Medicago truncatula: one gene and its partners. The protein of the gene in region 3 binds, or shares a complex with, the protein of the main gene of each other region. Links are inferred from orthologs where the notes say so. Each region holds a gene or a part of one and is shown on either strand. Other genes may lie near its edges. The genes, in order: mediator of RNA polymerase II transcription subunit 31, mediator of RNA polymerase II transcription subunit 21, mediator of RNA polymerase II transcription subunit 19a and mediator of RNA polymerase II transcription subunit 8.

Region 1 (7,224 bases), on a different chromosome or scaffold from region 3:
GCAAGTATAAATGGCAAAAAAAAAATTAGAAACCCAGAAAGTAGGGTTCTTTCATCACCATTCATGCCTCTTCTCTTCTCTCACATTCCAATCCATTCTCCTCTTCATCCTTCCCACTCGAATCTCTTCTGTCAAATCAAATCCAACATCACAAGAGGCTCATCTTTCAATTTAAGATCTTCCTCTTCTTTTTCATTGTTATTGCTTTCGCCACCGCAGTTAGGTTCTGCCGTCACAGGCCACCAAATTCCACACTACCAGTAACGAACATAAATGAAAAAATAACATACAGAAGGCCAAAATACAAGTCTGCATTACCCCAACACACACAAACGTTGTTTGAAAAAGGGTTTGGTTAAAGAGAGAAAAGGGAAAATTAGTGGCTATGGTGTGAATAGAGAAAGAAAGTGATTGTAATAATGAGAACGATGGTGAGAAAAACTCTATATTAACAATATATGTTATAGCCACTAATTGGGTTGTTTATTTCTCACCATCCTTCGTTGCTTATTGAAGAAAAACTAATATAGTGGGTTGTTAATTTTGCTTGCTGTTGATTGTAATGATAAGTGAATGCTGCTTATTGTTTAATCGAATTTCAATTCATTCTTCTTCGAAGAAAAAAAAATTGGGTTGTTTATTTTGATTTTCTGTAAATTGAATTGAAATTGGATTGGATTTTTTTTCTTTTTTCTTTTTTGCAAATTTGTTCAGAGATGAGGATAGGGAAGAAGCTAGATAGAATTATGAAGAAAGGAAAGAAAAATTGGTTGATGATGATTTATGAGTTTTTGGATTTTTTTTTTCTTTTTAAGAATGTTGATGAAGATGATGAAGAAGTTGAGGGGGAGAACGATGAAGAAAAGGAAAAAAAGTTAGGTGTTGCTGGTACATCATAAGATAAAATAGACATGTATAATCTAATGGTTCTTTTAAAAAATAAAGATCAAACGATTTAAATTAAAATATTTAATAGGATCTATGGTGGACCACTCTAAAAGTAATCCATCATAGACATTTGGGGTTAAACTTAACAGCCAAGGATTTATTTGACCGACGGAGATACAATTGAGGGACCAAAACCTGACTTTTATTAGTTATGGGACAAAAATCAAAACTTGAAATTAATTAAAGGACCAAATGACCTATTAAGCCTATATTTTGTCACTCTTTTTTAAAGAGTAAATAGTCAATTACCCCCATAAAATTGTAACTTTCGTCAAAACCCCCCTGAATTTTGCAAAATGTAAAAAACCCCCCTGAAATGGTCAAGCGTCTGTCAATTACCTCCTCCGTTAATTTCCTCCATCCAACATGCTGATGTGGCCGTTAACTGCCACGTGGCGCTGACACATGGTCAGGAAAGTCATGCCACGTCATAGGGGGGTAATTGACTATATTTTATTTTATTTTATTTTTGTTCGAAATTTTCCTTCATATATTATATAAAATAAAATATAGTCAATTACCCCCCTATGACGTGGCATGACTTTTTTGACCATGTGTCAGCGCCGCGTGGCAGTTAACGGCCACATCAGCATGTTGGATGGAGGAAGTTAACGAAGGGGGGTAATTGACAGACGCTTGACAATTTCAGGGGGGTTTTGACGAAAGTTATAATTTCAGGGGGGTAATTGACTTTTTACTCCTTTTTTAAAACTTGTCTCTTAAACTATTTATATCTCGTCTGTTACTGCCTCACTTTAAATCCATACACATCACTCTTTTTTCTAATACTACTCTCTTTGATATGTTGTACGTATCAAACGATCAATGTTTTACCGTTATTTTTATGTAACAATGAAATTTATTTACCTTATGTCTTTATGAATATTAAAAAATTAAATTTTAATATTCATTAATTAATGTAACAACACGTCTTTAGATCTTGTAAAAAAACACGTCGTTATATATATATATATATGCGCGCGTATGTAAAATAACATTTATTAAATTATATTTTTATAGGTTAAATAAACTACTACTATTTTTTTATTATTTGATAAAAATAAAATAAAATAATAATAATAATTATTTTTTTAAAGAAATTATTTATTTTTATTTTTATTATGTTACACTAATTTTGCAATAAAAAAAGTCTAGAGAATTGTTGTTCCCACATTACATATGGCTGTGCCACACGAGTAAATGACGTTTTTGTTCCTGCGGTAGTTAACTACCGAAGTTTAGAACCGGCTGCAGCTTCGGCAGTTAACTGCCGACGAAAAAACGAAAAAAAAAAAACCTCGGCACTTAAGTGCCGAAGAACTCATAATATTTTTTTTTTCAAGATTCTCTTAGACTTTAACCTCCACAATTGGAAATATTAAAAACTTACTATCTCATGATTTCATTCAAGATAAATATAAATAATGAAAACTTACTACTAACAATATATTATATAGAAAGAAATGTGTAATGCACTAATGCTACACATGCAATTATGTATAATTAAATATGAAAGATGTTAAGCCTATTGTGATTAGTAGAATTATTTATTTACTTTCACAAAAGCTAATGAAGAATTGCTCCTGTTGATAATATTGTCTTTGTCTAATATGGTCCACTGTATACTACTCCCTCCGATCTTATTTATAAGAGAAGGTTGACTTTTTAGATTTGAATAATATATGTATCTAGTCAATAAACCAAATACATAAATTATTTGATGTATCTAAAAAGTAAATTGTCTCTTGTAAATAGGACCAGAGGGAGTATATTGTATCAAAGTGGCAAGCACATTATTTCTGAAATATGTAAGAAACACTTCAGTGTAGTGTGGAATTGAAAGTCTAAGAGAATCTTGAAAAAAAAATATTATGAGTTCTTCGGCACTTAAGTGCCGATGTTTTTTTTTTTTTTTTTTCGTTTTTTCGTCGGCAGTTAACTGCCGAAGGACCTTCGGTAGTTAACTGCAGCCGGTTTCAAACTTCGGTAGTTAACTACCGCAGGGGCAAAAACGTCATTTACTCGTGTGGCACAACCTTATGTAATGTGGGAACAGCAATTCTCAAAAGTCTATACCCCTTTACCCCTTTCTATCTCGTACAAACTTAGAGTATATTTTTATAATTTTCTTTTTATTTTATTTTTTGGGCTTAATTGCACTTTTGGACTCCTATCTTTTCAAAAGTTGCGGTTATGGATCCATAACTAATTTAAATACAAATCAGCCCCCTATGTTTTGATTCTTTGGCAGTTTTGGACCCCAGTACATTGTTGATTCGGTCAACGCTGACGTGGCACCCTAAGTGAGGTGCCACGTGTCAATATTTTTTTTGTTTTTTTGCCTTGGGGGTCCAAAACTGCTAAAGAATCAAAACATAGGGGGTTGTTTTGTATTTAAATTAGTTAGGGGTCCATAACCGCAACTTTTGGAAAGATAGAGGTCCAAAAGTGCAATTAAGCCTATTTTTTTGTCATTTAACTTTATTCCACACACACCATATTTATTTCAAAGTTAATTTTCTCTCTCTTCACCAAAGAAATCTAGAAAACTCTCTCATTCTCAAACAAGCCCTAGCCGCCGCCGCCTCCTCCCTCCTTCAGTGTGTCTCCGGCAGTCGTTACATTGCTCCACCATCTTCATCCTCTCCTTTTCATCTGTAATTATACTCTATCAAATTTATTTCAACTCAAAGATGATTTTAAATTTCCCTACGACCATCTTTTCGGCTAGATCTTGACATCCACGCACAAGCTTTTGAAAATCCATCACCATAAAAAGAGTCCCCTCCATCTTCTCTACAAAACCCATTTAAAAAAATCAGGAACGGACAACCTTCGCCGGTGACCACCACGCCGGAGCTTGCAACCACCGCGCCGGGAAAGAGCTTACGTGTTTTCATCCCGATCTGGGTCAGAATTTTTACACAAACACTTAAACCTGGGCTGTTGTCTTCATCAAGGTCAAGTTCTTTACATATTTTGTTTCCATTACATGCAACAACAACAATACAAATATGAAATTGGATGTGATTTTGTTTTATTTCTAGAGATGTAAAAATTTCTTTTGTAGATGAATCTTTTTTAGTTCTGATGCTACTGATAAAAAAGTCTGTTTTTTTTTTATACTACAGATTGATAACAAAAATCTATAGAACAGCCTTTTTTTTTTTTTCTTCAGAATTTAGGATTTTTTTTTTACAGAAGAATAAAATTTTTATTTGTAAATCAAAAGAATTTTTTTTTTCACTTTCTGTTATTACTTGTTATGATTTAACAAAAAATTCACTTACATTTTCTTGTAATATGACTCAAATAATATTCATTTCTTTCTAAAAAATTCACTTTATGCTATTACTTTACTTGTTGTGGTTTAACTAAAAACATAGTTTTTTATTTATTTACAAAGCCGAAATTGTTATGCATAAAAAAATAAAACCAAACTGATACTAAACCATATTCTCAATTCTTTCACTCTGAGAATCAGCTGCTCATCCCTCTATCTCTTATTTATGGGCTCTTTTTTTTTTTTTTTTTTTTTTTTTCCTTCCCTTATTGCTCGTATGTGATCTGGAATCTTCCTGACAATGAAAGGATAAACATTAGATCAGCTGACAAGTTTGCAAGACAAACAACAAACAAACTAAGAAGGCACAATCATCAGCATTTTCTAATGAATATATTTTGTATATTTGCTTTTTTGTTGTTGATATAATTGTAAAATTGTGTTAGGACTGTTTTTGGATATGTATTCTTTCTTTAACTTCTCATCTTTATACATTTTCTTGTTTTGCCTCATATGTGATGTTGAAGATTCTATAGTTTGTTAAATATGTCATATGTAGCTCAACAATAAAATGAAGATAAAAAATTAAAGAAATAATGAGTTTAATGATCATTTTCATGGTTTTGTAAAGATGAAAAGAAATTATTTTACCTGTCTGTGTTCTTCCTTTTAAAAAGAATTTCCTGCAATGAGAGAAGAAAATGAAGCTAAAGAAATGAAAAGAAGAAAAAATGTAGATAAGAATAAGTCAGAAAAAAGAGGAAAGGAAAATGAAAGAATATGAGTATTGAAGGATAAATATAAAGTCTGTTTGAAATTTGAATTTTGAAATTGAGAATTTGGCTCCATTGATTGGATTCCGTGTCAACCAAAATCTGGCTTATAGTTGGCATGTAATGGAACTGACTTTTTGAAGAGCAAAATAAATCAAACTATAAGCTTTTTATAGTTAAATGACATCATAGTAGTTAAGTGAGGTCATTTAGTTAGAAAAAGTAATTTTAAGACAAAATTTACCCTTAAAAGTGATATGTGGCAGCCAATCATTGATGGGCAAAAATAAGTTTTCCACAACATCTTCCCTTCTTATATTAAGAGAGATATTCAAAGGTGATCTGGGTCATATAAAAGTTCCAAGCTCTAACCCTGCTAATTATATTTCATTAAATAGGTGTGTTTTTGTTCTTGTAGTTGAGGATTCTGTTTCCATGGCCTCTAAAACTGAAAGCGGGAGTCCAAGAGATACCCCACCATCACCGTAAGTATAATTGTAATCTTTTTTAATTTCAATGCCTTTTGCATGTCACATTATCATGGCCACATTTTTTTTTAAGGTTGTGTTTGATATTGATAGGCCCAATACAACACTAGTCTATCGTAGAAGGGGAGCAAAGGGGAAAAGTAAGCAAGGGGGTGGGTCTGCTATCTCAACCCAACCCGAGGACAATAAGGGGACAAATAGAGTAGGCCTCCAAGTTTATACAAGAAAGAAGAAAGACGTATCAAGGGGAACAACAAAAGTTGTTGTGGGAGAAAACACAGTTAGAGGAGGAATAACAGAAGGGACAAATGGCAACGGGAGAGTATAGTGTTAGAGATAGTGTATGGACCGGGCCTTGAGCCCGGCCTCTGTAAGGTAGGTGTTACAGCTGTCTTATGACAGCTGAATTTCTCTGTTGTTAATAGCTTCTGTTGGAAGCTTCTAGTTAGTTAGAGTCAGTAGCTTGTTCTACAGGCTTCAAGTTGGCTAGAGTTTGTTACACTATGTATCTGTAATAAATAAAAAAGTAGTATAATTGTTATCATTCAACCAATTATAATGAATTCTGATAACATTCTCTCATTTTCTTGTATTCTATCTTTCTAACATGGAGAGATATATGGAATCATTTCTATATAGTTAAAGGTGGGGGGTCAGAAAGTCAACATTTTAGAAAAATTGTTTGTGATGGTGAGGCTAAGCCTTTGTGAAGAATGTTTTCCCTTCCTCTGTGATTCCCGACTCATTAGTCATGATCAACCCTTGTGTGACAAGCCACAGCCGCTCTCACTGCAAGCATTAGAGTGTCCATCATTAGCCTCTTTTCCTGTCAATTACCTTCCTGTTTCGTCCATTTGTCTCTAAGGATTCCCTTCCTGTAGATTTCATACTCTCCCAGGATTGGGAGCTTTGATACAAATTTGATAAAACAGAGACCGGTAAAACCTAAAAAATTAATGGCGAGAGCGAAAACAGGAAAGTTGGAATGACGGGAAAAAAAAAAGTAGAAACGAGTGCCTACAAGTGCTGCACAATAGAGCTGATTCTTTATCGCTCCACTCTCCAATTGGCATATGCCCCTTCTGTCATTCCTCCAACTGTTTTATCCGTCTCTGATTTTTTAGTTTTGTTGTTCCACTTGATGCGTCTTTCATCCTTCTTGTACAAAACTTGGAGACTCGGTCTTTCTAGTCTCTTATTCTTCTCGGATTGGGTTTAGACAGCAGCTCATCCCTCTGATCAGTCTGCTCTTTTACTCTTTTTTATGATCGGTCTTTGTTATAATGGGCATATCTGGTAACAGTTTGAAAATTTAATTTATGGTGCAAAAGATAAGGAGAGGCACTTTATGCTGGAAAAGTTATTAGTTTAAGCCTACCAGGCCTGGTTGGTTTTTTAGAGGAACTCTCAAGCCACCCTGCATAAATTGGTTATAACCAATAGTGTTTGTGTTCTATTCAGCATGAAGTGTGTGCCCATTTCAAGGGCTTTCCGTATACTACAAATTTTAATTTGTTCTGTCTTAATCAATTTCTTTTTTCATTAATAGAAGTATGATTTTGGGATTTGTTGGACATATTGAGCTGTACTTAAGCGCTGATGGTTGTTTTTCTCTAGGCCAAAGAGTATATACAAGGATCCAGATGATGGGCGACAACGGTTTTTGCTGGAACTGGAATTTGTTCAATGCCTTGCAAATCCTACCTACATACACTGTATGATTTTCATTTTA
Region 2 (7,635 bases), on a different chromosome or scaffold from region 3:
GCATATGCAATGGACCTACTTGTGTATATCTACATACAATTGACCATGCAATGCAACTCCATGTGACTCCACTTAAACAACATGTATGATTCAATAATTAACATACATTTAAATCATCATCAGTATTCATCAATCCAGCAATCCAATCAACCAAAACAATGCATAATTAAATATAACTATGCCCAAAACAACAACATCAATCATCACCATTCATACAACAACAATCAACACTCAGGAAACTGTGCAGCTCGCCTCGCGAGCACATCTGCTCGCCATGGCGAGTTCACAAAAACACTAGCTCGCCATGGCGAGTTCAAGGCGAACTCGAGGCGAGTGAAAATCAGGTGCTCTCGGGAAAAGTGCCATTTTCTCACTCAAATCCCAATTCTAAGTTCCCTATTCATCTTTTTAACCTAAAACTTCCACCATTCATCATTAATATCATCTAGGTACCTTAAACCATCCCCAAAACATCTTATAACAATTTTTCAAAAATCACGTTTTGATCTGGGCTACTCGCCATGGCGAGTTGGTCTGCTCGCGAGGCGAGCTATGAAGTTGCTCACTCGCCATGGCGAGCACAGCTACTCGCGAGGCGAGCGATGAACTTCTGTACGGGCAGAAAACTGGTTTTTCCCAAAAATCCCATTTTCCTCCCAATCACTCCCCAAATCAGTTTACAGATGAGAAATGAATGTTTCTATGCAACCAAAACCAAATTCTAACATCAGAACAGCAATATCTACCCCAAAAACCATAAATTCAATTAAAACCCAATTCCTCAATTTCACTCCAAAAACCTGTTAAACTCAAATCAGACTTTAAAATCTACACTATTGAAGTAAACCTCACCCTTACCTTAGTTCAGAATAAAAATGCACAGCAAAAATGGATTCCCTTGGTTCTTCTCCCTTGTTCCTGGTTTCACATAAACTGCTTCTGACATCCAATTCTCAACTTCCCTCTTACTTAACTCCCTAATATTTCCATTAGCTCCCCATTAATTTTAATAATTATTAAATAACTCTCCAAACTCCAAAATAACTAATATTTCATACTTATTATAATTATTATTAAATAAACTATATAATAAAATAATACACCACATAAAACACTCAAAAATCACATATATATAAATATATATATATATATATATATATATATATATATATATATATATATATACTCCGCATAAATCACCAAACATCATATATAAAAATATATATACTCCACATAATTCAAATTAATTAAATAAACAACTAGGGCGTTACAAATCACATCGCTCTACCCATCAGTGACTAAAGATCGACTCATCTGGAAAAAAGAAAATCATGGCGAATACTCTATTCGTAGTGCATACTGTTTTTTTGTTCAAGAATTACTTGAGACATCCCATTTCAAGGTACTAGGCTCTTGGAATATAATTTGGAAGTTCAAGATTCCTCCGAAGGTAAAAAAAATTATGTGGCAAATTTGTAGGAATTGCTTACCAACCCGTGTACGTCTAAAAGATAAAGGAGTCACATGCCCTATGAATTGTACATTGTGTACGGTGAGCAATGAGGATACACTTCATTTATTTTTTCAATTTTCAAGTAGCTTAAATGTTTGGAGTATGCTTCCTTTCTTTTCTTCTATTTCTATTTTGCTACAAGATATGGATAACAAGAATATTATCTTCAAAGTATTACATGATTTATCTAAGGATGATGCAACTTTATTTTGTTGTGTGTTGTGGACTATGTGGAAACAAAGAAACAACAGAGTGTGGGATGAGGTAATTGATGCTCCAGTTTATGTTGTTGAGAGAGAAAATGTTATGCTTCATGATTGGCAAGATGCATGTAGGATTTGTAATACATCTTGTGCACAGTTGCGACAAGAAGGAAATGTGAAATGGATCAAGCCAGTTAAAGGAAGATTTAAGTGCAATATTGATGCTTCTTTCTCCCAGCTTTCTAATAGAGTGGGAATAGAAGTTTGTATAAGAGATGAGGCAATTTTGTTTTGGCAAAAACTGAATGGTTTACTCGAGTCTGGGAGGTACATGTTGGCGAAGCTCTTGGACTGTTATCAGCTTTAGAATGGGTTCATCAGTTACACTTGGGACCTATCGATTTTGAGCTTGATGCTAAAAAAAGTTGTAGATAGTTTTTCCTCTGCACATCAGGATTTTACAGAATTTGGGATGATAATTCATAATTGTAAAACTATCTTTGAACAATACTATGTCAACTCTAGTGTTGAGTTTGTGAGGAGACAAGCAAATGAGGCAGCCCCTAGATTAGCTAAGGCGGCCATATCCTCAACTAGTTTCTAGATTTTGTTAGAAATACCAAATTATATTGAACACATTTTAATCAATGAAATGGTATAACCTCCTTTCATTTAAAAAAATAAAAGGCTTAATTGAACTGCCGATCCTTTAACGTATTTCTTTTATTCAATTTGGTCCTATAAGTCTTAACTTTCTCAAACACGTCCCTGAACTTATTTCTTTTATTAAATTTGATCAATTTTGATAATTTTAATCCTCTAAAAAAAGATATCGTTGGATTAGGGAGGTCTATAAGATTTTATAGTGTATCACCAACACCTAATTTATTTACTTTCTTCTTCTTCTTCCATCATCTTCATAAAATAAAATAGAAAAACCCAATTTTTTTTTTCAATATCATCTTTATCAATCTTCATACAAAACCTCAATTAAACCTCAACAAGTTCCAAATTTGACATAAGAAATAATGACCCGTATGCAAAAGCATGGATCTGTTCTGTTCCATAAAAGTAAATAAACTCAGCACAAGAAATTTTTGAAGGTTTAATTTCTATCATTTTCAGTAAATTGATCTACCACACGTGGACCCATTGGAGTAAGCTTTTGAAGAAATTTCTGTCATTTCAGAACCATGCAGTGTAGGTGGGAGTTACAGCTACAACTACTCCACCATCGCCACTGCCACCGTGCCGGAAACAAGAGAAGACGAAGTTACAAGTAAGCAAAGGATCAGAGAGGGAACTCATAACCGGAATCGGAATCAAAGCCACACCAATGCATCAAGGAATCGTTCTTACAAAGACGACGACCCAAATTACTGGCGTGGGTACTGGAGATTCCACGGGAGAAGAAAGTTGTGGTTGGTTCAGGGTCGGTTCGTTAGAGGGAGTTTCCCAACAAGGGATTTCTATTTTTTATTTTTTTTGTAGTGATTTGAAGAATCTTTTTGTTTTCTGTTTTGAATGAAATGGTTTTGAAATGATTCGACGGTGATTTGGGAATCTGTATGTGTGTGATTAGAGCTGTCAAAACGGGCCAGGCCGTATGGACTGGCCCGTTTAGCCCGATTAATTATAGGGCTTGGGCCTTAAATATTGAGTCCGAATTTTAATAGGGCTTTTTAGCCCGGCCCTAAAAAGCCCGCTATCCGTTAGGGCTAGCCCGAACGGGCCGAGGGTAGCCCGCTAGCCCGCATAACAAAAAAAATCCTATAAATTATATATATTTTTCAAATAATTCTTTACTTAGTCGATTATCAAGTAATAAATAAAAGTGAAAATTCAATGAATTAACACAAATATACATGTAATATAAAATTATATTCACTCGTTTCGTTATTTATAATTTTAAAGATCGAATATATAAATATCTATAACCATAACGTATCTAATTTATTTAAAATTGTTTTCCTCGCCGTTTTAGTTTACGACGTTTGTACGAAAATGTTTACAATTTATTTTGTTCTAGGCATTATTTAAACATATTAAAAATATTATTTATAAAAAAAAATTATAGGAGTATTTTATAGTACTTTTTGAAAAAAAAAATATATATAATTTTTAAAACGGGTCGGCCCGTTAATCCCGCGGCCCGTGTAGGGCCGGACTCGGGTAGTATATTTCAAGCCCGTTTTTCAACCGGGCTTTTTGGCCCGGCCCGATAAAGCCCGAAGCCCGTTAGGGCCGACCCTAAACGAGCCGGGCCGCCCGTTTTGACAACTCTATGTGTGATTTTGAATTTTGAAGGTTTAATTGTAATTCAATTTTATATAAAGCTCAAGTATCTAAAAAATTGTTGGATTTCTAAAAAAATTCAAAAACCCATTTGATGATAATGTTGATTTTGGGTATGAGATTTGATTTTGGTGTGTTACAGAAACGGTGTGACTTAGGGAAGCAATTATGTGGATTATGATGATAATGTTGGATTTGGGTGTGAGATTTGAAGTTGGAAGTTTGATTTAGGGATGGTTATGGTGGAGTGATTAATTTCGGGTTTGAGTTGATGAGGATGAAAGAGGGTGTTGATGATGATAGATGAAGTTGACAATGATGGTGGTGTAGTAATTAAATAGTAGGTTTAAATATTTTTTTTCTTCTGATTTTATTGATGAATATTGATGAAGGATGAATGAAGATGAAGAAGAAAGTAAATAAATTAGGTGTTACTGATACACTATAAAATCTGATAGACCTCCGTAATCCAACAATTTTTTTTTTTTAAGATATTAAAATTATCAAAATTGGAGCAAATTGAATAAAAGAAATAAGTTAAAGGATTGGCAGATCAATTATGCCAAAAAAAAAAAAAAAAACTAGTCGACCAACTCCAAATGGGTTTCTAGCTTACCCATTAACCCATGATCTAAGACTGACCCATCAACCCAATTAATAATAGGTAATACTGGTGCGATTAAGAAACGAAAAGAACAAAACGAGAGAAACACTCTCGAAGAAGAGAGAAAAAATTGCGCCATTGTGGGTGGGATTACAAGTACAACTGCTGGTGAGTGAGGGAGTCAATGGCTTCGTTGTAATCAAAACTTCATCTTTGATTTCATCTCCTTTTTGTGATTAAGTTTTGCATTTGATTCTGTTGTGTTTGTTTTTGGGTTTTCACTATATTGCTCAACCAATCGTAATAGTTTAGATTTTATAATGTATGCCAAGTGTTTGATAAATTGTTTATATATCAATTTGTTCGTTTTCAAATTCAAATTTCTACTTTCTGTTCCTTATTTTGCAGTTGACAACTAGAATTTTATTGAGTCAATTTCCACCACAAAGTTGTTCTTGTAATGGATATAATCTCTCAGCTACAAGAACAAGTTAATTTGATTGCAAACTTAGCTTTAAATACCGTCGGAACATTGCAAAGGGATGCTCCTCCTAACCGCCTCTCGCCAAATTACCCCGAACCACCTCCACATCCTACGGAGGACGGGGCAAATTTTTCTGAAGAACCGAAGCTCATGGGTGCTTCTTTGGTCAAGGCTGCTAAGCAGGTATGTTGCATTTTACAAAGTTTCGTAGAAGCTTTAAATATGGTTATGTTGGACTGTAGAAATTGTGAGTAATCTTTTGGATATTATTTTAAATGTAATAAGAGTTGAATCACTAAACTAATTAAATGGACTATGCTATTCCTAACGGGTAAGATTAACTGGCTGAATATAATCTGTAATAATAATTACAAAATATACGATCATATTTACAACAAGTGTCATACATTTTAAACAATTCTGCTCAAATTTGATGGAGTATCAATGCTTGGCGTGTGTTTGTCAATAGCGGCCGCTACAGCTGATATAGCTGTGGGGAGCGGAAATTTTGATGCCGCCGCTCCCAGCCGCGCTCGAGTGGTTCAGATGGGTGAGGCGGCCGCTTTGACCGAGTTATCCCAGCGCTGATCCACTGTGATATTGTCTGTTCCCACCGCATCACCCATGTAAACGTGCTACGTTGCTGTCATGGATCGATTTTTAAGTAAAAATCAGTTTTTAAAACGCGACAAAGAGGAATAACTTAGATCAGGGAAGATAAGGGAAGACTAAACACAGAGTAGTAGGGGAAGATATTCAGATAACCCTTTATCACTGGTTTAGAAGGAGTGAAGAAAAAGAGTAGGAGAGGAAGAAGGCATGAGGGCATTGCTCTTTACACTTTAAAAATTACTGTCCCACACCAGAAAATGACTCAAATGCCCCCAACGGCAGTTAACTGTTCGCTTTTTTGTGGCGGAAGTTAACTGCCGTTCCACAACCATAATTACATATACATTAAAAAAGGTAAAAAAACTACGGCACTTGAGTGTCGTGGAGAATGAAATTTGATTATTGTAATTGGGCCTCTCGTGGAGTATATTATTTCAATAAATATAATTAGACTTTTCACCCGTGCGGCATCAAAACATTACCTGCACTTTTTATTAAAAAATATAGGTGCGATAGATCATAAGGTCCATTAAAAGAACTCATGTTATATGTATGTATGTTAATTTGTTTAGTAAATGTTAGCTTTTACCTGTCACTATGTTTTGTATGAAATGAGCATATGTGACTCCGAAACTTAGATTGCAATTTGAGATATAATGCATAATTGGAATATAAAGGATTATAACCATGTATGTGTCAACATAGTTAGATTAAAAAGCTGCCTATTAATACATAATTGTAATATAAAGGATAACACCAATGTATCTGTGAAACTGGTTAGATTATAAACCCGTCAATTAATTGTCCAAATACTAATATACATATAAATTGGTCTAAAGTGTATGCGTTTTCAGCAGATAAAAACATATGTCATGGAATGGCAGAACATACTCTCCATATACGTAAACCATAAATAAAATCAAACACATAATAGCTTGCTACAACGACTAATTAAAAATCTTTTCCAATTGAAATTATTTTTGTTACCTAACAGAACCATATTTTGTTCCTAGGCCATGTTGTTACAATCACTTTATTTACAATAAAAGTACTAAACATCCTTCTAGCACACAACACAGCATTTTGGTGATGACTAACAACGATCAACATAAGATGAATAACATATACATCGTCCCACAACAGTTTGAAAGGAAACATAGGAGACAAATTGGCATCCTCATCAATCCTATTAACGACAAACTTCATGGTTGGGATGAAAGTTGGATATCGAATCGATTTACCAAACCTATCCTTAATCCTTATCTTAAACTTTCCATTCCCAACCAAAACAACCGTAACCCAGGCACCAAGTGAAACATTGTAAAAGTCATGCAGTGCGCGCCATCCCTTTGTCAGGAAAATGCCGCCATTATTCCTCTGCACCAAAACTTCTAACTCATTATAGTTGGGATTCACTAACGTCGCGGCGTAGCGACCGATCTGGTCCCCAAAGTCATGTCCAAACATGGTTGACAGCATGACAACACCCTGCAAGCACGAAACCAAATCAAAATAGCATCAATGAATATACCATTGATATCACAAAACAGAAACAAAACTTAAAATAGTTTAATCAACCCACATGATCAACATCAAACTCTATGATTTAAGTCCTATAAATGTCTTTACCAGTAAGTGTTCTTCATTAGCTAATTTAGTTACTGACATTCATGTAGTCAGCCTCTTCTTAAAAGCTGGAATTAAATGTATAAAATTAATAAAATTAGATTTCTGCTAAAGTTAAAGGTCTAAAATATAGCAGATGAAAAGAATTGGGCATATGTACCTTTCTATTATGCATAGCTATGAATTGTTGGATGACAGCAGAGTCATCAGTAGTCCTTTTCACAGAAAAGCAATGCCAATTATTTATTATATTACCATCACCAACTTCAACCTTGAACGACCATTGCTTATCTAAGAA
Region 3 (7,847 bases):
ACACGTTTTCTCTTAATCTGAAGAATATAGATGCAGCGAACTAAATTTCTTCAACCTTTTCATGATGTTTCTTTGAGTGATCAGCACTGGAATCACGATGCCCGCTTTTGTCTTTCTTTTTGTCCTTGTCTTTGTCTTTGCTTCTGTCCTTGTGACGATGTTTGTGCTTCTTATGCTCCCTGTCCTTGTCCTTATCCCTGTCTTTGTGCTTCTTATGCTTCTTCTCTTTGTCTTTCTCACTTTTTGATTTTCCTGCAATTGTTGGTATTCCTTTCTCCGCCTATTAGGGAAAATACAAGGAACAATCAAGATACAAGTCCACAAAGAACACATCATCAAACTTTGTTAACAAAAACTAAGATAGCATGCTGAATGATTTCAGCAAGAATTAAAAACTAAGTATGATCAAAATCACTAAAAATTTCTTACAGCAGGCAAATCGATGGGAGCTGTTTCCCTTAGTTGGAAAGACTCCTTGAGTATATCCAAGTCGAAAGGCTGTATCCGAGCACTTGTCTCTCTTGAGAAAGATGTATTCTGAATGAGTTCATCCAATTGCATGCCATCTCCTTTTCTTACTTCTGTGTCTCCTACTACACTGTGCAGGTAGTGTGTGTCCGCGATTGACACAGGAAGCGGCCTCTTGCAGAAAAATTCATAGTGCGGTATTAATTTGAAATGACTTATGAGATCCACAGCACCTGTCAACTCCCTCGGTCCTGAGGATTCAAAAACACAGAATGTCAAAAAACACAGTTTTTCTTTGATGAGTAAGTGACTTACTGTAAGTATTAGCTAAATATAAAATATACACAAGAAAACTTTAAAAAGGGATAATTGCACGGAAATCTTCAAAAGATGCTAATAGAATTTAATGTTTTCCATTCAATTCCCAAAAAATGAACGGGTGATAATTGACAAAGTTTCAAATCTGCCAAAAGGGCAAATAAACAACTAAAATCACGAATAAATAATTAAAAATTTAACCCAGTATTGTCAATTAGATAACAAGCACAGTCAGTGCCATAAACATATGAAATCCGGACTTGTATATACAATAATACAAAACAGAGACATCAAATAAAGATTTTATAGAATTAGGTATACAACATAAAGCACTATCATAAAGCACTATCATAAAAAACTTTTACCTCCTCCAAACTTTTTTCCTTCAGGATCCATGATTCAATCTTTCATGGTTCAATCTTCCACAGAACCTGATTAAAGCTGTCGGTTATTGGAACGAAAAGAATGTTTACAAAATTATTAGGGAATACATAATGAAACAGATGATACCATATAAAAATCATCATTTGTCACATGAAAACCAACAAAATTATATAAATCATTCTTTCTCAAGCTACCCTCTTAAATTACGGTAAAGAAGGCTTCTAAGCCATTTCAAAAAGACATTTAACATGTGCCACAAACCCCAAAACTTAAACAAACTAACTGGAAAAAAGTATTTCTATACCCGCAACCATTGTTGTACAGCTAAAAGCTTTGAAGGAGACTATCAATATTTTAAGAAGCCCTAGCATTCAAGCAAAACGCCATCTAAGACCAACTAGGAAAAACAAGTGTTCCCAGTAAGGCCAACAGAAAATATTAATCCATGCCTAAAGCTAATAATCTGCAAACAGAAAATGAACCATAGAATTCATTCACATCGTTTTCTTTTTCCATATTTCAAGAAATTGAAATATCCAAAAAACCATAGACCATAAAAATCATTCTAGACCAATGAAGCACTGAAACAAACGTGCACACCAGACACAACAGTGACACATCAGCACCGGTAATAATTTGAAAATTAAATTAATTGAATGTAATCACATGTGTCGGTGTTGCATGTCCCATGTCGGACACGCCTTTGATCAAAAGTGTTGGTGCTTCAGAATTCTAGACAATCCCAAATAGCACATGGAATCATCACCCAAATAATACAGTTGATAACTTAAATTCATACAGTTACAAGCCTACACACTAGCATAACAAAAACACGTTCAGCTTGTGTAAGCATAGATAGACTAAAAACATCAAACTACACATGACCAGCACCAATTTATATCAAGAGAAGCATTCAGTTTCACATGGATACAACGGCTCCTTTAGATGATCTAAATTGTAATTACTTTTCATTCAGTTTCATATAGTCAATAGGGAAGACATGAACTTGATTGGTTCAGTTTTGAAAAGAAAAGGGGTGGAACCAAGGGGGAAAAAACAGCACAATCATGTGTTATAGTTATAAAGTGCTTATTTCAGAAATTTTCATGGTTTCAACCATCAATTGTTTCTCATCCTGTTTCAATTTCCACCTTTGAAGATTGTTAAATATTCAAATCCAACGTTCAAAAAAATTTAACAGCTTTTCAAAAAGTGGTTTTCAACAAAAAAAATCTAAGTCTCAAAACATAGACCACAAAAAACCACAAAATCTTCATCACATTAATAACGCAATTAACAAAACATGCTTACGCCCTAAAAAAAATCAACTTCAAAAACAATCAAAACAGTGAAGAAAACCCCACCTGTAGAGTGAATAATTCTCAATTCCCACAAAAACCACCAAATCTTCTTCAAATTGGCACAAACACAAACCTCCAGCAATTGCAAAACTTCAACCACCCCAACAAAAATTTCTTCGAAAGCTGCACAAAATTGAAACCTTTCATCAAAATAAGCCAAAATCATCAACAGGGTAGTCAAGAATAACAATAAAAAAGTAACTTTTTTATGTATTCATTGAAAATTCGGTAATTGACCCATGAAAGAGATAGTGTGTAAAAGAATGAAACCTGCAAAATTGCAGATCCAAACAGTGAAAGAAGAAGAAAGGGATTAAAGGGTTCTCACAAAAACAAATAAAGGAAAGATCTTTGTTGAGGTTTCAGTGTTGGAACAATCTTTGTGTTTGTTCCTTCGGTAGTACTCGTGATTGTGTTGTGTTCTTTCTCTCTGTTTTTTTTCTCTCTCAGTCTTATGAATGAAAAAGAGCAAAAACCCAAAATTCTTTTATGTTCCTAGTTGCCACCTCTTATATATATTTAGCTTCCATTTTCTACAATTTTTCAATTTTACCCTTTTGATATTGCTATGCTATTGGATCAAGTGTCAACTTACCCCTAATGGGTAACGGTGGACTATTTTTTCATGTAAGATTTTTACTTCTAGAGAAAGAAAGACATTGGAAATTGGAGTATAAAGGTGCATTTGATTGGTTAAAAAATAGTAAAAAAATGGGATAGAATAATTTCAGTTGTATTACGTTTGATTGTTTTAGCGATTAGACAAATTGGTAGGCAAGCGAAAATTTTGTCATCACTAAACCATAATAGAATTTCTTTTTGTCTCAAGCACAAGTTGTTTAGCCTCCATTTTTTGTCATATCAATTGCCCGTGGTTTATGAATGAGGTAAAATACTTCAAATATATCGTGTAAATTGCTATGGACAATTTATTTCTATTTTTGAAGATAAAATTAAACTGGTTTAGTATAAGCTATAAGTTATTCTTACAAGCTATTTTGGAGAACTTGTGAAAATAAATCGAAAACGACTTATGAACATGTCATAAGTTATTTTCATAAGTTTTCACAAACAGCGTCACAAGTGTATAGACCGGTGCATAACTCAAATAAACTAATTCAAGCATGTTCAGTCTTTTTAACTCCTCTAAAGTGTAGAAAAAAAAATAGCATCTAAAGTGAGCAACTTCATTTAACATTTAACATGTATTACTAAATCAAATGTAGATATTATACACATCTCATATTTATTGAAATAACAACACCTAATTTTATCACATTGTACTCTACTTATTCTACTAGAGGAGTCAAATCTATTATCAAAGTAATAGTAGCAGTGACCATGTTGAAGTGGTACATAACCAAGTAAGATAGAATTGTGTCACTAATTCAAGCTTCAAAACACATTGAGAAAAATGTTATGGATAACTTAAATCCGTAGTATAATAAAATATTATAACGTGATCATTTGCACACAGTAAGGTGTTAAAAAAATTGTTAACTCGTATATAATAGTACAAGAATGATGTCCAAGGTTCAAATCTTAAAAACTAACATAACTACTAACTTATTAACATTTGTATATCTTAAATAAGGAGCGTTGGTAATCCAAAATAAAAAAATAAGGTAGGTTATGTAATTTTTATCTTGTATTAAATTTTCACAAACTTTTTTCTACAAGATTATGTTCAAAATCAAATTGATGAAAAAATACAAGAGTCGCAAAGCAATACTAAAGAGAGTAGCACAATTAAATCAACATTAATTGATACCATTTTGCATTCATCTAATCAAATCTAAATTAAATCAATATGATCAATAATGAATCAATTTTGATATTAATCATTAGATTCATTATTTTTCATATCTTGCTCACAAAATCAACATTCCTTGAAACTAGATATCATGGTCATCACCTATTGTTATCATAAATCAAGAGTCGATTTTCGAGAAATGGAGCTCACCATAATTTGTCAACGTTGATGAGATTTTATTCTGGTTTTCTTCATATCTATCAACATCAAGAATCTTGTTGCCATTGAACTATGAGATAAACCAATAGCGTGGATGACGTATGAGGCGGTAACACAGTGTGTAACGACTATCACATTTGATTTAGCATTTATTCATCTCAAACCCTAAAAATGCTTGTCGTTAAGACAGACAGTACAATGGATAAATGTTTTTTCTTGAGTACATTTTCATTGAAAACTTCTTCAAAACAAAGATATGGTCTCTTTGGTGTTCGCCGCCGTGAGGCAAACGAAGAATAAAACGCCGAATTGAAATCTTCGGTTTTGGTGTCTTAGATCGAATTAGGGCAAGAAAGTCAAAATGTGTTTGATTACTAGTTGCATCATGACATATCCGCATTGTATAGTCATTTGGGCAAAACACTTGTTCTAAACAAATATGAATATTATATTAACTATATAATAGTCGCATTTTAGTATATCTAAAATGAAATTGGATTGGGCCAATGCTATATCTTTTTGGGCCTTTTTTAGATGATGTGTTGTTGGTATGTTAGAAGAAATAATGCTCATTTAAGTGTGTACTGAATCTCAAACTAATTTCATTGCAATCAACAATGATTAGAGGAGTGAAGTTTTTTTTTTTTTAGATAAACAGATATAAAAATGTGTTGCGCTAAATTAAAGGTTATTAATATGTCTTGAGATATATCAATATTAGCATCATACACACTTTAAATTCAAAACATGAACCAATTCATTATATGTATTGTGTACTCCACAATCAATTCTTCCTCCGGGATAAAAGATACATAAAAAAAGTATATCTTATCACTTTGCTTATATTTCATTTCAAAAATAGTATATCTTATCTTAATTTTAATGTATATATTATATATATAATGTTATTATAAATAAAGTTAGTTAAGGTTTCAAGTTTATTTTCCCATCAAAATACACATGTGATTGAAAATTCTATTGTTTAAAATTTCATATATTATTTGATTTGACATTATTTGAAATTGTGATGAAAAATAAATAGTCTATCCATCGCTTAAGTTATGCTAAAGCTTTCCTACGATTGAATGTGCTTTTGTAAATTCATATGTTAGAATAGCAAATAAATATTTACTATTAATTATGGACTGTGAGGTGGTAGAAAATAAATGTGTAAAATGGGAAAAAGAAATTTTTATTAAAAACTTAAGCCCAAACTTGGATCTATGTGATTTACTTCTTATTAGTTGACTAAGTCAACCCCCTTTCCTTCCTTTTAGCAGAACCACTCATACACATTTCTTTAATTCCGTCTTTCGCTGAGCTCCTTAAAGAAAATAGAAGAACTAAAAGAAGAAAATAAGGAGAAAAAGGATGCATAGAAGAAGTCCATGAGATGGAGGAGGAGAGTAGGAAGTAGTGCATGCAAATTTAAGAGGAAATAAAGGAGAAGAATGGAAGATAGAGATGAAACCTAAATCATTTCCTCACCACAACATGGTTCAAGAGCACTAAAAATATTTATTTTTAGGGTAGTGTTAACTTGTGCCTTTAAGGCACATGTTAAGAAATCCAAAAGAAGAAACTTTCTCTATGATTTTGTGCATTTAAATGATTAAAAAGTTAAATATTAAATGCAATACACACAATCCAATATGTTTTTTTATATATTTGAATCATTAACTTGTGCCTTGAGGGCACAAGTTAACATTTCCCTTATTTTTATCATGGTTATGGGTTCATAAAGATAGAGAAGAAAGTGAAATCAAGTTGGAGTTCGAAGAAGGAGATGAAGTTATAACTTATAAGAAATATTTATCCCTTTTCTAAGAATAAAATGTAATATAGGAATTCCCCACAAAACCTCTATCAGGAATTATCTAGGATCTTTGATTTATACATGTCATTAAAAGTTTGTGTTTTAGGTTGGGTGTTTTCTCAACCTTAGGCATTTGTGTATTTTGTATGCATCTAGGAAAAGTTATGTGTACTTTATATATCCCCTCTTCAAATATGTAGATGAGTTCTAGAAATGAAACTCCCTTTAATTAAAATTACATGTTGAGTTTTATAATGGATGATGTATTAATATAAGGTTTGGGTAGGTAACCTAGACTTTTAGCTTGTAATCTCAACGTGTAGAGTTTAAATTCCTTAAGAAATGGTTGTATATTGACTATCAATGATACTTTATTAATAAAAAAAAAAATCCTTTTACCTAATTTATGAAGGAAAAAAAGGTATTGTAAAAAGATGGAATTCTTGATATTTGTTAATCAATTGAGTATTATATAAGAAATATAGATGTTAAATTTGATTAAATGTATTTTCATATTAAGATCAGGGTTTTAAGTGTTTGAGTATTGTTATAGGCCTACTAGAGGACCAAAGTACTCAATGTAATGCAGAAAAATCGTGTTTTTAGCAGGTCTGATTGAGGGAGCTAGGTGTTGCATTGTGGGAGATAGGCACCTTAAAATTGAGAGCATACACTTACATGGACACCAAGCTTCTTAGAACACCTTTTTCATATTTTTTTCACCTCATTTTTAGTGGTTTTTCTAACAGTACTTGTTAGTTATATGATTATATTAGTATGTTTTAACTTAAAGTATGTTGATTTATGTCAATTCATGAACTTTTAAGGATATGTAATCATTAATACCAATAATATCATCATATACTTGTTAGACAAACTTATGACTTAAGTGTATCACATGAATGGATAACATAATACAAGACATAATGAGGTATAAATGATTTCTCCTAAAAATGAAGGGAACTCTCCTTTTAAAGAATGGACATGTGTAAGGGCAGAATATTGGGATGGTGCTTGTGGTGTAAGGACATACATAGGACATGAGTTACAATTTCATGGATTACTTGCATATGAGGGATTGACAATAAACATTGCAATGTTAGAGTAAGATAATCGTGGTTTATCCGGTAATAGAAGGAACTCTTCTTCTAAAAAGGGAACATATGTAAAGGCGGAGATAATGAAATACCTCTTATGGTCAAAGAGTTTACCTTACATATGGATTACAATCTATTGGAATACTCATGTTTGAAGTATTTATATAAAAGACTTAATATCATATTAAGCAAGTATGAATGTTATAGTGTATCAAGATGTATTACATTAGTATGAGATACAAATGTAATAAAGTAAGATGTAACTTAATGAACTGAGGTGTCAAATATACATGCGCGTACACACACTCACACACACATATATAGAGAGAGAGAGTGAGAGGGGGAGAAATAAAGTTTGTGCTGAGAGGATTTTTTCCAATGCCTAACACATCATACATGTCTGTGAAACATCTAGAAATAAATCTTTTACA
Region 4 (7,580 bases), on a different chromosome or scaffold from region 3:
GGTTGTGGGGTTTGCTGCTGAGGGGATGGCGTATTCATCATATTTGTAGTAGACCTAGGTGAATTGGCATATGGAATTGGTGAAGCTGTTGTATTGTCAAAAGAAGTGGCGCTGGTTGCAGCAGAAGGAGATGCAGCTGATCTTCCCAAAAGTTGTGATCCCGATGTCTACATTAGCAATAATGTGAGAAGATTAAAAAACTTACGACTAGAAAAATCGATATTTTTCATAATTTCAATCCACCAAATGAAGTAATTAGTTCTCATTCCATAGGTTTAAAAGTTCGGCAATGAGGGAAGTGCACGAGAGGTAAAAATCAAATAGGCCAGATGAGGTGAGAGTTTGAGCCTTCTCCCAATAAATTAGTCTGTCCCCATTGTTACAGTCTAGTGGTTGGTTGTGAGGAGGTTTCATGTGGGTGCCTGGGTTTGATCCCAGGTTTTCCACCCTTCCCCCTCCCTATGTGTATGTGTGGCCCCTCATCTATAGAAAAAAAATAGGGTTAGATGAGGAATCAACCATGCAGCGCCGCTTAAAGTAGCTGTGCAATTTATCAAATTTTATTGTCCTTCAAGTTCAATCTAATAAGGATCAGATGGGTTTTCAAATATAAAATTAAAATATGAGACTATGACGTAGAATATTTCAAAATCGCGAAACCGGATATGAAAAGGTAGAAAGCAAATCATTTGAAGCAAGAAAATCCAAAATCATAAGTAACCATAATTCACATATACCCTTTATTTACAGTATTAAAAAACAAGAGTGAAGAAGATAGTCAAATATCCATTCATAAAACCTTCATCGAAATGTGAATGACCAGACCTGTAACAACGAATTTTGGCCGCCCATACTGTTTGATGACAATGGGGTATTCTTCATATACACATCTGAAAGTAATAGTATATATAAATGCCACTCGAAGTCAAATTATAAAATCAAAATATTTTGGAGATGGAGAGTTAAGAAGAGTGATTTACTATTGCTAGACCCGTCAGGAAAAGATTGTGCACTCTCGTTGACCGTAAATGCGTCTGCCAAATGCATAGGAAGTGAAGCAGTTATATGCCTCTGGTCTCCAGGTATCCGCAATCCTGCATGAAGTTCCATTATATCCAAAAAAATCACCATAAAGATACAGATTTAGAGAGTCATTGGTATGAAAGTTTAAATTCAACAAACAAAAACTTTATTCAAGGCAAGCCAACCAATAGCACCTTCTTGTACTCAAGAAGTCCTTATGAGCTAAACCAAGTCTAATGCAAACAGTGACAAATGTACATTAGCAGAATTATCCATATGAAAGAAATTTTAGATCTTAATATGTATTTAGAACAAGAGTGACCATTGGTTGTGATATATCTATAAATATATTTATTATAGTACAAGGCGGAAGCAGGTGAAATTATTACCCTCGCCAACATTGACGGCAGCTCGGAGTAGATTTTCCTGTTCTTGAATTTTGGCAGCCTGACCCTTGTCGAGAGTGGGGGCAATGGCAGGGCCCTGACGAGTTCCAAAGCAGTAAGCTTTACGAGTGTCAGCCAATACTTTTTCGGCACCTTCACAGGCTGCGGCAATCATATCAATTCTAGCCTGCAAGAGGGAATGAAGAATGAAGAGGGAAGAGGGAAGACGGAAGAGGAAAGGTAGATGTGAAGTGGAAAGGGGAGATAACCTTCAATTTGTCAATTTGAGTGGCAATTGGGAGGTTCTGCATCCCCTGAAGCAATTGATCTCTCTTCAAGGTGTCCTCCGTCTCCATTTCAGGGAGTAGTTTTGTGGAGAGCATAACAGGCAGTACTGATAAAACATTGTCACGGTGATTTGAAATGTGAATGGATGAAAAGTGTACAATACATATGAGATATTATGTGTTCATACTTGTAGCATTTTCGGCATTGACATTCTTGGGATAGACTATGAAAGCCTTGGAGACCTTCTTGATATCGTCAACGATGTTGAAGAGTTCGAGATTGACCATGGAATACTGACCCAGAATATCTTGCCATTTGGGATTGGTGTTGGTGCGACCATAGGCATCAAAATCTTCGAGAATCCTTGATATAGCTTTGAACAGGCTGATAGCACGTGTCTTTACTTGTTCTAGGTTTAGCTGCTGCTGCACTGCCTGGTTCAATCTCTCCTGCTGCTGTGGCTGCGGCTGCTGCACCAACTCACCCTCCATTCTTCTTCCCTTTTCTGTTTGTCCGTCCCAATCCCCGCAACGCAACAACTCTTGTTCTCTCTCGAAAATTAGACCACAGACAAATATAGAGTACTGCAGAATAGAATAAAAGGTTAATCACACATCAGAGGAGCTGCACCAACTCGCAGTAGCCACATTTTCAGTTTCCATGATTATCCTATTCCTCAAAAAAAAAAAAATCCATAAAAACGCTTTGTTTGAAAAAGAATTTGCAACAGAAAAATGTAACACAATTTCCCAACATAATCCAACTTGATATGTCAAATCCTTCAGTTTTCAATCAACAATAAATCAAGTCAAACGAAACAAATCACAATGGTTTACATTTACTTTTTTTTCCCCCTTTTAGGTGGCAATAAAACAGAAGCTTCGATGATTGATTAACTCAATTGAAATTGTTTTTTTCTTCTGATTTTACTGTGGTTGATATGGTTTCACATTATCATATAATGATGTGTTATCACTTTTTGAATGCATTGATGATTCTTATGAAACAGTGGTTTGCTTCCAATATCAGTGACAGTGAGGCAACACTAAAAGTTAAAATCAATTTCAATTTCAGTGCTGCTCTGCTATCACTGTCTTAATTCAATTTCAATTTCAATATCTGATTCAATTTCAGTATAATAATTTCAAAACTGACCTGAAAGAGGAGAGGAGAGCAACGGTTGTGGGCGGTGGACGTGGTGGTGTTGTTGGGTTCGTGACACTGGAAACGCGTGTGTGGTTAGGAAAGGAAAGATGAAGGAAAGGAAACGCGAGCCTGCTGTTTTTTTTTCTGGGTTTTGCAAGTCGGAGAGATAGACACAAAAATGAGCAAATTGTCCCTTTGATCCCTGACTCAGGATTAAATACAAATAAGTCATGACTCTGCACTTCCATTATCACTTAATCCCTTACGTTAAAAAGATCTGTTAAGTGATGATGTGGCGCATATGAGGTGTCACAGGGACCAAAGTGAAAGTAGAAAATGGTCATCGTAGTCCATGAACCAAAAATCAATATTCCCAAATTGAATATCAAATTCCTAAATCTCAAATCCCTAAATGTCATCTAATTATCTCTTTTGTTCAAAATTAATCTTCCATTAAACATAACTTAATGTTAGGTCCCTGACTGTGCATACTTACTATCAGTTAGATCCCTGACAAATGAATTAACAAATCCAATAGCATCTACTACTCTTGATTATTGTTATATTCACGTGATAATTCATATCTCTACCTCGTAGATCTCAGCATACACAGTAATCAAGAGCTCAAGATATATTCAAATGATAATTCATTTATGTTGGATTTTTTTTAACATAATTTCTAACTTGAAATTTGTTCTACATAGTAGGTACTAGTGCTACATCTAACATAAGTTGTTTATGTTTCCAAGTTTATTATCAAATTTCTCACTTTAATTTTTTTCTTTCATGAGAAGCTAAAGCAACTAAAGCATAAGTTCTTTCATGTAACTTAATATGCATTAGTTATTCAAATCTCTCCACAAAAAATTGGATACTGTTGTTTAAAGACACATAAAAAAATCAAGCTATGACTTTAAAATACTTACGGGGATTATAATCAAACACACCGTTCATAATTCATTTATCTATATATGTAATCCTGATGTCATTATATACTAAAGGGAGAAAGAGGTAACGGAACCACAACACTATGGCACTACTAAAAAACTCCAAAACTTTAGCCCAACATACCATTGCCTCAAGATCAGCTTTCAAGCCAAAAATGTCCCAATAGCCAGGGACTTTAGTGAAATTTCGTGTTTACTGTCAGGGACCTAACTGATAGTAAGTATGCACAGTCAGGGACCTAACAGTATGTTGGTGTTTAATGAAAGATTGATTTTGAACAAAAGAGATAATTAGATGACATTTAAGAATTTAAGATTTAGGGATTTTTTATTTTCAATTTGGGCATATTGATTTTTGGTTCAGGGACCAAAGTGACCATTTTCTACTTTCACTTTGGTCCCTGTGCACCTCATATGCGCCACATCATCACTTAACAGATTTTTTTAACGTCAGGGACTAAAGTGATAACGGAAGTGCAGAGTCAGGGACTTATTTGTATTTAATCTTGAGTCAGGGACTTATGTGACAGCGAGCTACATAATCAGGGACTAAAGTGACTATTTGCTCCACAAAAAATAGATGGTGGGTCTTACCACTAAGTGGGTCCCACCATCATTAATTATATTTTACTTTTTTCAATATTTTATGTGTATTATCTCTCCAAATTGAAGAAATGGAGAAACACATAAATGGAGAGGATTCTAACCTGTTTTTTTGTATATATTTAGCATTCAAGAGAGGGTAATGTATATTTATGTAAGATTGGAGGGAGTGAAATCCTCTCCATTTATGTCTTTTTCGGTTTGTACCATTTGGAGAGACAATGACACATGAAAAATAAAAATAAAAATAAAAATAAAAACTAATGATGGTGGGACTCGCTTAATAGTAAGGCCCCCAACCTTTTTATGTGTGTATCTATTTTTAAATGGCATTCTCCATTTATTTTTATAAATGAAGAGGATCTTAACTCGATTAGAGGATGTTTAAGGAGTTAAAATCCTCTTCATTTTTACCATTTGAAGAGATAAAGACACACAAAAAAGTAGTAAAGAATAATCCACTACATATTTTATATCTCTATCTCTCTCCAAATTGTATATTTCATTTATTTTTATAAATGGATAAGATCCTTACCCGTCTATGATGGGAAGAGGAAAATGTAATTTGCTCTAAAAATGATTTCTTAATAATAAATTAAATTTAAAAAAATATTTAATAATAATTCAACTATTATTCCAAGTTTACATGTTTAATAGCTAAGAATTCTCATGACATATTGTTTAATTTTGTCTCTTTTTCGTACAATCGTATTGTTGTGTCTGTCTACTTGTCATACGACTGGCCACTATCATATTGTATAAATAATGGTGATTTAAACTTTAATGGGGATTTGCCATTACTAAAGAATCTATAATGGTTAATTATAGAAAAAGGTGACGATGTGATACGATTAAAGCTTATTCGTTTTTTAAGAAGGATTTTTTTTTTATAACTTTTTAGGGGAATTTTTTATAATTATTCTCAATAAAAATAATGAACAAAATAATAACAAATATAATAATATATTTGAAAGATTTAAATAAATAAATAAAGGGTTCAGGGACCAATATGAAAGTGAAAAGACCAATATAAAAGAGTACTGAAAGTGCAGAGACTCATACTAAAACTTCGGAATATTTTAATTCTAAAAATTTTGTCTTTTAGTGTGTTATGTGACGTGTAATAATTGGTTCACATGACACACGTTAGCTTTGCCTTTTTTTAACTTGGACTTAACACAAAGACCAATTGTAAATTTTTTATAAAGTGCATGGACCAATGTCAAATACAAAAAAGTGTAGAAATTAATGTCAAAATATGATCAAAGTGCAATGAAGAATGACATATTTAAGACATGATTGATACTATAAGAAGAAGAAAAAGTCAAAACAAGTTAGATTTGAACCATATATATCTACTTTGTTTGATTTTTTTTCTTCTTATATCTAAGACGAGTAGTAAATTATCATCCAAAATTGTAAGCATATCTTAAAACAGTCTTTGGTTTTTGTGAACTAACAAATAAATTCATGTAATAGTAAAATGTTGGGTTAAATATGTTTTTGATCCCTATAAATATGTCAATTTTTCGTTTTAGTCCCTCTAAAATTTTCCTTCAACTTTTAGTCCCTATAAAATTTTCAATCACTACTTTTGGTCCCTATTTTTAATTTAATTTTTGTATTTTGTAATGAAATTGTGCAGAAATGTGTCAAATATTCTATTTTTTAACAAAACACAAATTAAATATGAATTTTTAACCATAAACAATATAAAAATTCATATTAAATTCATGTTTTGTTAAAAAAAAAATTAATTTTTTTTGGAGTCATTCTTATAATATTTTGAATTTTTCTGGAAAATTTTATTAAATAATATGAATTCTACATATGAGTTTACTTTAAAAGAGGGACCAAAGGTGAAGATTGAAAACTTTATAGGGATTAAAAGTTGAAGGAAAATTTTAGAGGGACTAAAACGAAAATTTGACATATTTATAGGGACCAAAAACATATTTAACCCTAAAATGTTTGTGAAAATAGTCACTTGATTATTACCCTTAGACTGTATGACATAGAATCTCACATCATTGTCACCATACTATGAAGTATAAACTAGTTTGTCTATATTGAAATTTATATGGAGTTTTGGGACTAATTTATCAATAATTAGTTCATGCATATTTGTAATTATTGATAAATTACTTCGTAAACTATTTAGTCCCTAATAAGTTGACAACATGTATTGGATCAACGTGGGGACATATCTAGTTAACATAACATGTCATAATCTTTAATGATAGAAGCTAACAGAAGGATCATTTTGAATAGCATTTTACAATATTGAGAATAAATCTGTCAATTCGCACGACTGCTTCGGGGGCATTGATTGGAGTGTGTGGTATGAGTAAAACAGATGCAGATGTTGCTAAACGTGCAGCCACACGACTGCTTGAGTTGGATCCTCTGAATGCACATGGTCATGTGACCCTATGTTCATGCTTTCTCATCTGGAGATAGATTAGATCCACAAGCAGAAGAAATGTTGCTACAAATTTGAGGAAGACAATATCCTTAGCACAACACTTGTACATAAAGGGGCTTTTTTGACACAAATATGTCACTGCTAGATGATAACTGACAAGGCAACATCTTTGTTATTTCACTAAGATTTTCCTCGTTACTGCTATATTATCAGAAATCTGGGCTGAAAATCTTTAAACCAACACGAAAAGTTGTTGCTTAGGTAAAAATTAGACGACTCTCGAATTCTCCCTGGTCTGTCAACAAACTAAAAACAAGTAAAGCATTCAGGACAGGAATTTATTTCTGCTATGATTGGTAAATTACTAAAATAGGTTGCAACAATAACAAAACCTACGTCAAATTCTCAACCGCCAACCATAGTATCATTCCCTCCTATGTATGTTCCTGCCTAAGTCCTGTTATAAGTACCCATTCGTATTCCATGTTATATCCAATTTGCATCCTTCCCTTTTATTTGTTTCAGTTTCTCTGCACATGCAATGTGGCCATTGGTTTTACGTGGTGCACTGTTTCTGATATGGAACAATTTCCAAATAACATATCATCATTCCTACTCGACATTAATACTATAAATACCGAGCTAGCTTCAGTCATTTACATTCATCATCTCAATTATTTCTTAAGCTATTCTACTCTAATTCTTGGACAATGATATTTTTAATATCTCACTTTTCTCTTAAGTCTGTAATTGTTGCTATGA

What was found.
Region 1: mediator of RNA polymerase II transcription subunit 19a (region 3) and mediator of RNA polymerase II transcription subunit 31 share a complex: the UniProt entries of both Arabidopsis thaliana proteins name them as parts of the mediator complex. The link is inferred for Medicago truncatula from reciprocal best matches to the Arabidopsis thaliana genes MED19A and MED31.
Region 2: mediator of RNA polymerase II transcription subunit 19a (region 3) and mediator of RNA polymerase II transcription subunit 21 share a complex: the UniProt entries of both Arabidopsis thaliana proteins name them as parts of the mediator complex. The link is inferred for Medicago truncatula from reciprocal best matches to the Arabidopsis thaliana genes MED19A and MED21.
Region 4: mediator of RNA polymerase II transcription subunit 19a (region 3) and mediator of RNA polymerase II transcription subunit 8 share a complex: the UniProt entries of both Arabidopsis thaliana proteins name them as parts of the mediator complex. The link is inferred for Medicago truncatula from reciprocal best matches to the Arabidopsis thaliana genes MED19A and MED8.

What each region holds. Positions count from the first base shown.
Region 1 is NC_053042.1:49,976,867-49,984,090, forward strand, and holds the start of mediator of RNA polymerase II transcription subunit 31, read left to right. Parts: upstream 1-4,208; 5' UTR 4,209-5,280; coding exon 5,281-5,341; intron 5,342-5,402; exon of another isoform or gene 5,403-5,422; coding exon 5,423-5,489; intron 5,490-5,565; exon of another isoform or gene 5,566-5,835; coding exon of another isoform or gene 5,836-5,867; intron 5,868-7,109; coding exon 7,110-7,207; intron 7,208-7,224. UniProt on the Arabidopsis thaliana protein: Component of the Mediator complex, a coactivator involved in the regulated transcription of nearly all RNA polymerase II-dependent genes.
Region 2 is NC_053048.1:13,820,603-13,828,237, forward strand, and holds the start of mediator of RNA polymerase II transcription subunit 21, read left to right. Parts: upstream 1-4,633; 5' UTR 4,634-4,783; exon of another isoform or gene 4,784-4,810; intron 4,811-5,023; 5' UTR 5,024-5,075; coding exon 5,076-5,282; intron 5,283-7,635. UniProt on the Arabidopsis thaliana protein: Component of the Mediator complex, a coactivator involved in the regulated transcription of nearly all RNA polymerase II-dependent genes.
Region 3 is NC_053049.1:10,410,912-10,418,758, forward strand, and holds the start of mediator of RNA polymerase II transcription subunit 19a, read right to left. Parts: upstream 3,020-7,847; 5' UTR 2,860-3,019; exon of another isoform or gene 2,802-2,859; intron 2,655-2,801; 5' UTR 2,535-2,654; intron 1,228-2,534; 5' UTR 1,183-1,227; coding exon 1,152-1,182; intron 720-1,151; coding exon 430-719; intron 281-429; coding exon 56-280; intron 1-55. UniProt on the Arabidopsis thaliana protein: Component of the Mediator complex, a coactivator involved in the regulated transcription of nearly all RNA polymerase II-dependent genes.
Region 4 is NC_053046.1:4,595,001-4,602,580, reverse strand, and holds the start of mediator of RNA polymerase II transcription subunit 8, read right to left. Parts: upstream 3,019-7,580; 5' UTR 2,853-3,018; intron 2,282-2,852; 5' UTR 2,189-2,281; coding exon 1,885-2,188; intron 1,804-1,884; coding exon 1,679-1,803; intron 1,597-1,678; coding exon 1,413-1,596; intron 1,095-1,412; coding exon 981-1,094; intron 891-980; coding exon 826-890; intron 168-825; coding exon 1-167. UniProt on the Arabidopsis thaliana protein: Component of the Mediator complex, a coactivator involved in the regulated transcription of nearly all RNA polymerase II-dependent genes.